2 linked regions of the Tribolium castaneum genome follow. The protein of the gene in region 2 purifies or fractionates together with the protein of the main gene of each other region. This does not show direct contact. Links are inferred from orthologs where the notes say so. Each region holds a gene or a part of one and is shown on either strand. Other genes may lie near its edges. The genes, in order: Sirt1 and DNA (cytosine-5)-methyltransferase PliMCI.

Evidence for each region.
Region 1: the proteins of DNA (cytosine-5)-methyltransferase PliMCI (region 2) and Sirt1 purify together in Homo sapiens (affinity purification with western blotting; 3 studies listed by BioGRID and IntAct, with this or other methods). This does not show direct contact. The link is inferred for Tribolium castaneum from reciprocal best matches to the Homo sapiens genes DNMT1 and SIRT1.

The regions. Positions count from the first base shown.
Region 1 is NC_087394.1:11,915,788-11,920,098, reverse strand, and holds the start of Sirt1 (NAD-dependent protein deacetylase sirtuin-1), read right to left. Parts: upstream 3,101-4,311; coding exon 2,950-3,100; intron 1-2,949. Other genes in the region: eIF1A (eukaryotic translation initiation factor 1A, X-chromosomal), read left to right, coding at 3,312-3,327, 3,555-3,742. UniProt on the Homo sapiens protein: NAD-dependent protein deacetylase that links transcriptional regulation directly to intracellular energetics and participates in the coordination of several separated cellular functions such as cell cycle, response to DNA damage, metabolism, apoptosis and autophagy.
Region 2 is NC_087403.1:4,025,726-4,030,148, forward strand, and holds the start of DNA (cytosine-5)-methyltransferase PliMCI, read right to left. Parts: upstream 2,869-4,423; 5' UTR 2,755-2,868; coding exon 2,738-2,754; intron 2,687-2,737; coding exon 2,452-2,686; intron 2,407-2,451; coding exon 1,816-2,406; intron 1,768-1,815; coding exon 1,380-1,767; intron 1,329-1,379; coding exon 1,066-1,328; intron 1,022-1,065; coding exon 855-1,021; intron 809-854; coding exon 658-808; intron 613-657; coding exon 381-612; intron 241-380; coding exon 52-240; intron 1-51. Other genes in the region: trithorax group protein osa, read right to left, coding at 4,171-4,423. UniProt on the Homo sapiens protein: Methylates CpG residues. Preferentially methylates hemimethylated DNA. Associates with DNA replication sites in S phase maintaining the methylation pattern in the newly synthesized strand, that is essential for epigenetic inheritance.

The sequences.
Region 1 (4,311 bases), on a different chromosome or scaffold from region 2:
AAAATGCAATGTAAACGAAGTTTGCGTCTTTTGATTACTTTACTCCGAAATTGCCATGGCTAATAGTCGGTAACATTTGAGAAAATGAAATTCGATAAAGTAAAAAAATATAAAAAAAATTTAACATTATTTATTTATTTTTTGTGGAGTCATAACAAAATTAACAAAATATGCTTAAAGGAATGATAATATATTTTAAAGAACTTACTTCAAAGATCAGATTTTTTACAATTTTCATTGGTAAAGTTTGGGGGTGTCCCATAAATTTATATAAATAGTCCCATAAATAGTGTCAAATTCACCCTGTATGTTTAAAATCTATATTTCCTATTTTTTTGAATTTTAAAGTAAGAAATTAGTGATTTTAATGGTTATAAGGCCAATCTTACCAACCCTAGTGTCGTCTGAGTTATTTGTGTAAATATTAAGTTAACATTGTAGTGTTTATGTAACTGCATAATTTACACTTGTCATTTCACTGTAGTAGTCTTTTTTCTTGGAGTAAATTTAAATTAAATTTAAGAAAATTATATAAGGTCCATAAAAATCCCAAATGAAGAAAATTACAAACATAGGTAACGTGTAATTTTTCTAGGAAAAAAAAATAAATTCTAATTCACTAAGATCAGGTCAGACACAATATTTGTAGATTTTTCACTACTTTAAAGTTGAAGTTCCTCTCCCACAGGTGATCCATCGTATCAACACTTTACTTATCGAATGTTTATCATAGTATCTCATGTTACAAGAGTTTTAACTTAGTCTGCGTCTTGAGAATTTTGAAATACGCTTTTTGAAATTGATTTTTTTTTTGTAATTTCAATAAATCCATAAATCTGTCTCTTTTGGGGTGATATTATAGGTGTGTTACCTTTGCACGATTTCGCAGTTTCCAAGAAAAAATGTTCAATAAGGTTCTGCCCACATCGACTTACGTCTAAAAATAACTAATTAAACTGAAGAAATTCCCTGAATTACAACAATAAATTAGAAATACAAATTATTGCTTTATTTGTTTTTCTCTAAAAGAATTTTACATCCTTCCAGCATAAATTTTTACCAACAATACCTAACTTAATCTTTTAGCATATATTACATCATTTGTAATATTTGAATCGATTTGTAGTCTGTAGATTTTTTTTTCAATACATGCGATACTACGTATTAATACTTCCAGATCATAAATTTTATTATATTTGTCTCCAAAAATTTCAAATATTTGAGAAGAAAAAATTAATACAAATCACTTTTCCACTCATCTTTCGTTCAAAAAAGATAAACTTTCTTGAAGAATTCACACTGCATCCTTTTTGTTTGCATTAAATTGCATAATAATATGATAGTGTGTACACTGCACAGACCTTAAGATGTGAACTGATCTTAAAGCAAAATGTCAAAAACTGCTTTTTTTAGAAAAATCGAGTCAAATTATTTTAAAATGTGATTTCTTACTTATTAGACGGTGAATAATTTTGCCACAATAAATTATTCAAAAAAAAAAATGTAAAACAAAGGTGTTTGATAAGACTACAAAGAGCTTTCCTATTTAAATTTGGGAAAAAAACTATCAGTCAAAAATTCATTTTTTCACTAAAAACCACCTTTTTTCAAATTGACATCTCTTCTCTTCACATTTGACCACTAATGAAATTTAGCTTCGAGTGCAAGTGCAAGAAGTATTTTAAAATAAAAATTAAGAAAAAATAGAAGATCAAATTCAGAAATTTTATAAACATTAAGATGAAACTAAAAAACTATTTGATTTTTATTATATTCTAATTAAAAAATTACAAAAAAACTAGAGCTCTAACTTTAACAGAAATAAAAAAAATCCTGAATTAAAAAAAATTATTTCACTTGATGTCATTCATCTGTTTTTTTTTTAGAAAAATCGAATTAAAATATTTTAAAATGTGATTTTATACTTATTACCACAAATAACTTGTTTAATAAAAACGTTTATTTTTAAAAAAACCTGAAAAAAAATTCCTAAACACTGACTAATCCTGAATTTATAAAAATACCAATAAATAAATTGTACAAAAAAACAAATGTAAAACAAAATATTTCATGAGACTATGAAGAGCTTACCTAAATCTAAATTTCGGAAAAAAACTAGATATAAAAATTATTTTTTTCCTAAAACCATTTTTTTTAATTAACATCCCTCCTCTTAGCTTAGACTATACATTAAAAATTAAGAAAAAATAGCAGATCTGAAGCAGTCAAATTCAGAAATTTTATAAACATCAAGATAAAACTAAAACGTATTTGATTTTTATTACATTCAAGGCAAGTTCTCAAATTCAAAGAATATAAAATTAAGACAAAAAACATGAGTGAATTTATATAAAAAAATGCTCACTAAAAAAAAACAAGTTCTTTAAGAATTCCCCCACGTGATGAATTGATGCTACCTTAGATTTTCCATTTATCACCATAATTTAATCAACAGATTTGAAAATGTTCCATGCAACACGCGGTTTTGACATAAAAACATAAACTTAACCTCTTTTGCAAACAAGTCAGTCGTAAACTGTCAGTAGTATTCCACCTTTTTTTTCCGACTATTTTTATAGTTTTTGTCCGAAATGGAATATTTTCCACAAGCTTTATGCACAATACCACCAAAAATACACCAAACATAACCCTGACAGAACTCAACTGAAACAAGGTAAATAAAACCACTAAATTTAAAAAAATCATTAAAATTTTATTTCTAATATTTTCAAATATAACTTAACAAAGAAAAACGACTATGTGAAGCGAAACGAACGACAAGCACCCGTTCTGAGTCAAAAATGAATCAACCGCAAATTTTACAAGTTCATCAGTCATTTCGATCCTAGCACCACGCCTACAAAATGTCTGCTAAATCGCCTTTGTTCTCGTCGCCATATTGGATGAGAAATTTTCCCTAAACAAGCAAACATATTTTAGAAATTTTACCTTCGGGGATGTCAATCGGGCCGCCAGCTGATGTGGAATAACTAGAAAAATCGCCCCCATTGCACAATTCACCTATATTCGACTCTCTTAGGTCGAGTTTAATTCGTTTCGCACTGGATTCGTGTTCAGCAACGTCAGGATAGGTATCCATCTTTGACACGAATAAAAATCTTTTCGAGCATCGAGTCGCCAGTGCCGGAGGAATTCCTGCGCGCGCATCCAGCGCCTACCCACAATCCCTTGCGTCGTCTGTGCACCGCCAGATAACAGACAGCAAATTTCTTGTGAAATATTACAAATTATTTCGGCGTTTTTGCAAACTTTTCGGCCCTTTTCCACACCGCCGTGTAGTCGCCCACACAATGCCGAAGAATAAAGGTGAGACTGCTCCGCGCCCCTAACTGCGTATGTTGCCAATTTGCGACATATCGACACCTCGCGACCACACGTTCCGTTTTGACAATTATTGGGGCACATTTTGCAATAAACGGCCCGAAAATTGCCAAAAGTTGTGGACTACAAGTGGGCAAAATGTGCAAATTGTGTCCCCTTGTGGCTAATGTCAAGTTCACATAGTGACGTTTTGTTTTAATATGTCATTCCAGGAAAGGGAGGTAAGAACCGTAGAAGGGGTAAGAACGAAAATGAAACGGAAAAACGTGAGCTGGTCTTCAAGGAAGATGGACAGGAGTATGCACAAGTCACAAAAATGTTGGGGAATGGACGGCTGGAAGCAATGTGCTTTGATGGCGTTAAGAGGTTATGTCACATACGAGGCAAGCTTAGGAAGAAGGTAATTTGCAAGAGCTAAAGTCTGATGTTTTTGCCATTATTCTGTATTTTTTATGGTAATCGACGTAAGTTATACTGAATTTGCGCTTAGGGTCTTGTTACAATAAAAAAATTAAATTGGCCAAATTTTTAGTATGAAGCGTTCTGTGAGGGACAGCTCATTTGAGCTTTTTGGAGTAAAATAAAGTTCAAATTGAGAGTCTGCATAAGGAAAGATATCTGTGTTAAACTGAGTCCCAGCGACAAGAAAACCCACCAAATTCCATTTCTTTTTAACGTTATCTACACATGAAACCTTAATTTGGTTTGTGTATCTTCTGTATCCGAAATGTTATGATTTATTGCGAAATTTGGTCAAAAAACAAAATCACATCTGTACCAATTGCCGGAAGAATTTAGCTGCAAAACATAATTTTGAACTTTTGCAAAGTGTTCTACCTAAAAACCTTTTGAAAAAAATGGTTATTGCATATTGTTTTTTGGAATTAGATTTATTATCATTATTTTAATATGGGAGGTATAATTTGACATTCTAGAAGAGCGGCTTTTTTCTCAGTTGACATGTGAATT
Region 2 (4,423 bases):
GTCAAATTGTAGCACCGTAACAGAACAGTAAAAAATAAAATGTAAACTTACCTCCCTCTCTCAAAGCCAGTCTTGTGCAGCTATACGTGGGTGGAACTAATTCACCACAGTCTGGATCGTATTGCTGTCTGAAATAGTAGCGATAAGGGCCCCCCTCGGACCATTCCCGCGCCTTCTGTTCGTCAGAACAGTAAACAACATAGCACTTCCCCATCACTTTACGAAACGGAACTGTTATAACTGAAATATCAATTGGCAATTTATCACACTACTGGTATTTGGGCAGTTTATAGGAACTGTCTGAAAGAGATCTATGGAAACGATAGTTTTGTACGACTCGGAAATAATTAAGAAGAATATAGCGTTAGTGTAGTATTTACATTTAGTGGACCAAAACAGCAGATTGATGTCAGACTGATACGATAACATGCTGCCACCCTTTGTGTTTTCAGGCCGAAAAAACACCCGAATCGCCATCAATACCCCGGCGGGTCCATCGCATAGGGTCTCGATTAATCCAATGCAGAACGGTTGGGGCATTTTTTTGCAAGAAGCGTTAGCTTCGCGTTTTCGGTAGTACTCCGGGTATTTGCTCTCATTCATCTCTTTCGCCTGAAAATTATCGTAAACACGGGAAAATGCAAGTCTTATAATTACATCATCGAAAGTGCACTCAACGGGAATCGGGAATTGATAAACCGAAGGATCCAAAAAAACCGAGTTCCCTGCTTCGTAAAACTCGTTGCGCCATTGGACTTTGTTATCTTTGAAAGTGGGAGTTTCAATCTTCTTTCGTTCCTCGTTCAACCTGAATTTCAAAACGTACCAACGGTGGGCAAAAAGTGAAAAATTACCTGCAATGTCCGCACGAATCCAACTCATTCCTGACTTTAACATAGTCCGTGAACGTGGCAGTCTCACTGTCGTACTGTTTTGCGTAAAAAAACCTATCATCGCCAGATGGCAAACACTCAATCCCGCCCAAATCGGCCCAATTGTCGGGCGTTGCTTTGTAAACAACCTACCGGAAAAATTGGAAAAAATTCGATCTTATAATTGCATTACCTTGGCCTGTCCTACTATGGCGGCAACCGGGCAATCCTCACATTCATTTGAAGCGAAAAGTTCTTGCGGATTGGCTACTTCCCCTAAAATCGTTTCATTGCCGCGGTAGAACAAATACACATGGACCATTGGTTCCGTAGCCGTGTATATGTTAACAACTCGGGCGATTGTGTTCGGTTTGGTTGCACTTTTGGGCGATAACTGGACAAAATCGCCGGTCTTGATGTTGAGTAAAATGCCCGTGTCGTCATCATTAACCCCACCTAACGATTGATGATATGAGCCCAAGTTAATTCAGAAGAATGTGATTTTACCAAGAACTATATCAATCGATTCGCGGAAATTCTGAAGGGGGCCGTCGCTCAGGACCCGGCTCACGCCAGGTCTGCGGCCGTCCTCCCGCCCCCTGGCTGGTGTCACGACAGTTTCGTCGTCACTCTCGTCCAACTCTTGCACGACCAAGTTGGGGCAACGTCTCAGCTTGCAGGGCTGTTTCATGTTGCCATCACCGCCGAACTTGACCATGTCTTTGCAGTAAACGCACTGGCCGCAGTCGGGCGACCGACACGTGTCGCAAATGCCACACCGTGTCTTTTTGGGCGACTGGCAATTTTCAGTCTGGATTTGATTCGGGAACAACTGTTCGAACAATTGGCGGACTAGCGGCGTGGCTGTGGCTTTGCTCAACTGGAGCTTAGTTCTCTACAATGAGTAAAGTTGCAATCGAGTGAAATACAATTAAGCAGCTACCCTTTGGTTCCCTAAAAGATTCCGCATGAGTTGGCGCTTCCGGAAGCTAACACCAGCCAAACTCGCCAAAGTTCGAACGCATGGCATTGTGAGTAACGGCATGTCGTTGTTGTCCCCAGCGTCCAAGTCGAAGCTGTGGATCTGATCGCACACAAACTGGGCGTTTTGCAGGAGAAATTCCTCGGTCAACAGTGGGTTATCGCTGTTTTCCACTGCGGCCAGTAGCTCCTCGTAGGAAGGAGCGCGGCTGAAATTGCTTAGTAGGAACTCAATAACGAATTTAAACAAAACGGTTTTCTCTTGGAGGCTTTTGAAAATGGGGGCGTATTCCAGCGAGGGCTCCATTAAAACGTACTGGGCGTAGTTAGTGATAATCCCCAGTAAGACTTTCTCGCCCCCGTCAAAACCGGCAATGAACCACTCGTGAATGGGCCCCATGTCAAGCGTTGCAATGCCATTTTCGGGGCTCGGGTCGTCGTCGAAAATTGGTTTAATGTAACCCCCGATATGCAAATAGACCTCTTTTTGCAACAACCCGGTGTCAAGGGGGCACAAGTGGTCATTCAAGTCGTAAATACTGAAACAAGTTATCTAAGAGGCAATGGCATGTTCCTGGAAGATCATATGGAACTTTACTTTGTGACTGGGCAAGTCGCCCTCCTCAAAACTGATGTTTTCGGTACCGTTGTACACATTCAGTCTTTCGGATGTTAAAGCAACAGACTCCTCGGCATAGTCATCGGGGAAATTTGTGTAAACTACTGCCTGATTAAGAGTTTGTGCGCAAAATTTGCACTTGTCTGAATGAGTAGAGGTTCGTTTGTGTTTTTTCGTGTTGTCCCCCGTTTCCTGTGCGGGAGACTCTCTAAACCTGTAAGGTACGACTCTACTACTACTTGTCTACTACGAAAGAACAAATTACCTTTTTCTTAAGGACATTATTGAAGAATTTAGCGAATAACTAGAGACTAGACTAGACAAAACAAAACTTCTCGAGTTACTGAAGTGGAAGGGTAACTCGCGCCAAATAGTTATAAAATGCGCAAACGCGGTGTTAGAAAATTTAATTTTCGGCGGGGAGCAAATGTTTTACTGGTTGCATGTTTGTGGACAAAAAATATACACAGCGAGTTAAAAAACCCATAAAATTCCTACTTAATTAAGCAAAAAAACAATCGCAATAACTCATCAAAAACCAATGACGTCACAAACGTAGTATTTTTAAAAATAAAATCAACATGTATGAATTTTTTATGCGTTACTTGAGCTCACCTTGTATAACAGTGAGTGGGAAACGTGGCAATTTTTTTTTCAAACCTTTATCTTGTTGACTTTTCATTGTGAAATGTATTTCGGAATTCGAAATTAAAAATTCACGTCACGAAGCTTGTTTTGACAAAATCTGGCTTAACAGTGTTAATAATTGGACTGCTGGGCAGAACAAAAAAAATATTAATATACAAATGGAATTTATTTTTACCATACCCTTCACGTGTAAATTGGTAAAAATTATTGTAGGTAGTAATTTACTTACCTGTGTGGTGTAGTGGTTGAATAATAAATGTTGCAGAATATTGTTTTGAAAAAAACTTGAAGGGTTTGCCGGAATTAAAAAGAATTTAATGTATTTAGCATTTACTTAATTTTTACAATATGCAATCATACATAAGATGAAATATACCTACAGCCAGAAAAATATCACCACATATTTTAAACTACATTTGAGTTCTATAGCAAGACTGCTTTTTCTAATAACGCAAGTTGCATTGTTTTACAGTCCATACTTGTTCATTAACAGAGTTCAATGTAACATCTAAAATGGGATGTATAAAACATTTTCTAAATATACATAGAAAATTAAAACTTGTATAAAAACACCATTTTCGGTACTTCCTTTGTACATTTATTTATTTCATTATCAGACATGTATAAAGCATTCGCACAGTAATACCAAACATGAAATAAGAGAACTGAGTGCGCAGGAAAAATAAAAGGGATGACCACCATCATCATCACCGTTTCGTTATTATCATTATCATCATCATACCAGGCAGCAACTCGAGAGCTACAGCACTACCATACTCTGTTATTCAAATTAATAAATACATAAGTAACATGGATGTTTGACATTTCCAGAAAGACGTATGTTTGCTTAATTTACAAAATGGTACAATTATGGGTTGGTTACACTAGGTGAATTCATTAGCTATCGGAGATCCGGATCTCACGGCGACTCTCGCCATTTGTCCCATTACACTCACACATACACACTGTTCATTGGTAAAGTTTAACTATTCACGCTATACATAGAGGTCTGTACACCAGTCCAAGGCCGCAAGAGTATCTACAGAGGGATTAGCTGCGAGATATTTGAAATAGTACTTTGGAAAGCAGGAGTGCCACCTGCTGATCTAAAATTTGACTCATAACAAGCGCCAACAGCCTCGATTCTTGTTGGACCAACAACGGTTTGTTATCCGGATGCCGCGCCAGAAACACTAACGTCGCCGCCGCTCTCCTCAACATATCCAGACTCGTTCCCATCGAATCGGGATTATCTCGTAGTGCACCTATACCATGTTGGTTCGCGACGCCCAAAGCGCTTTGT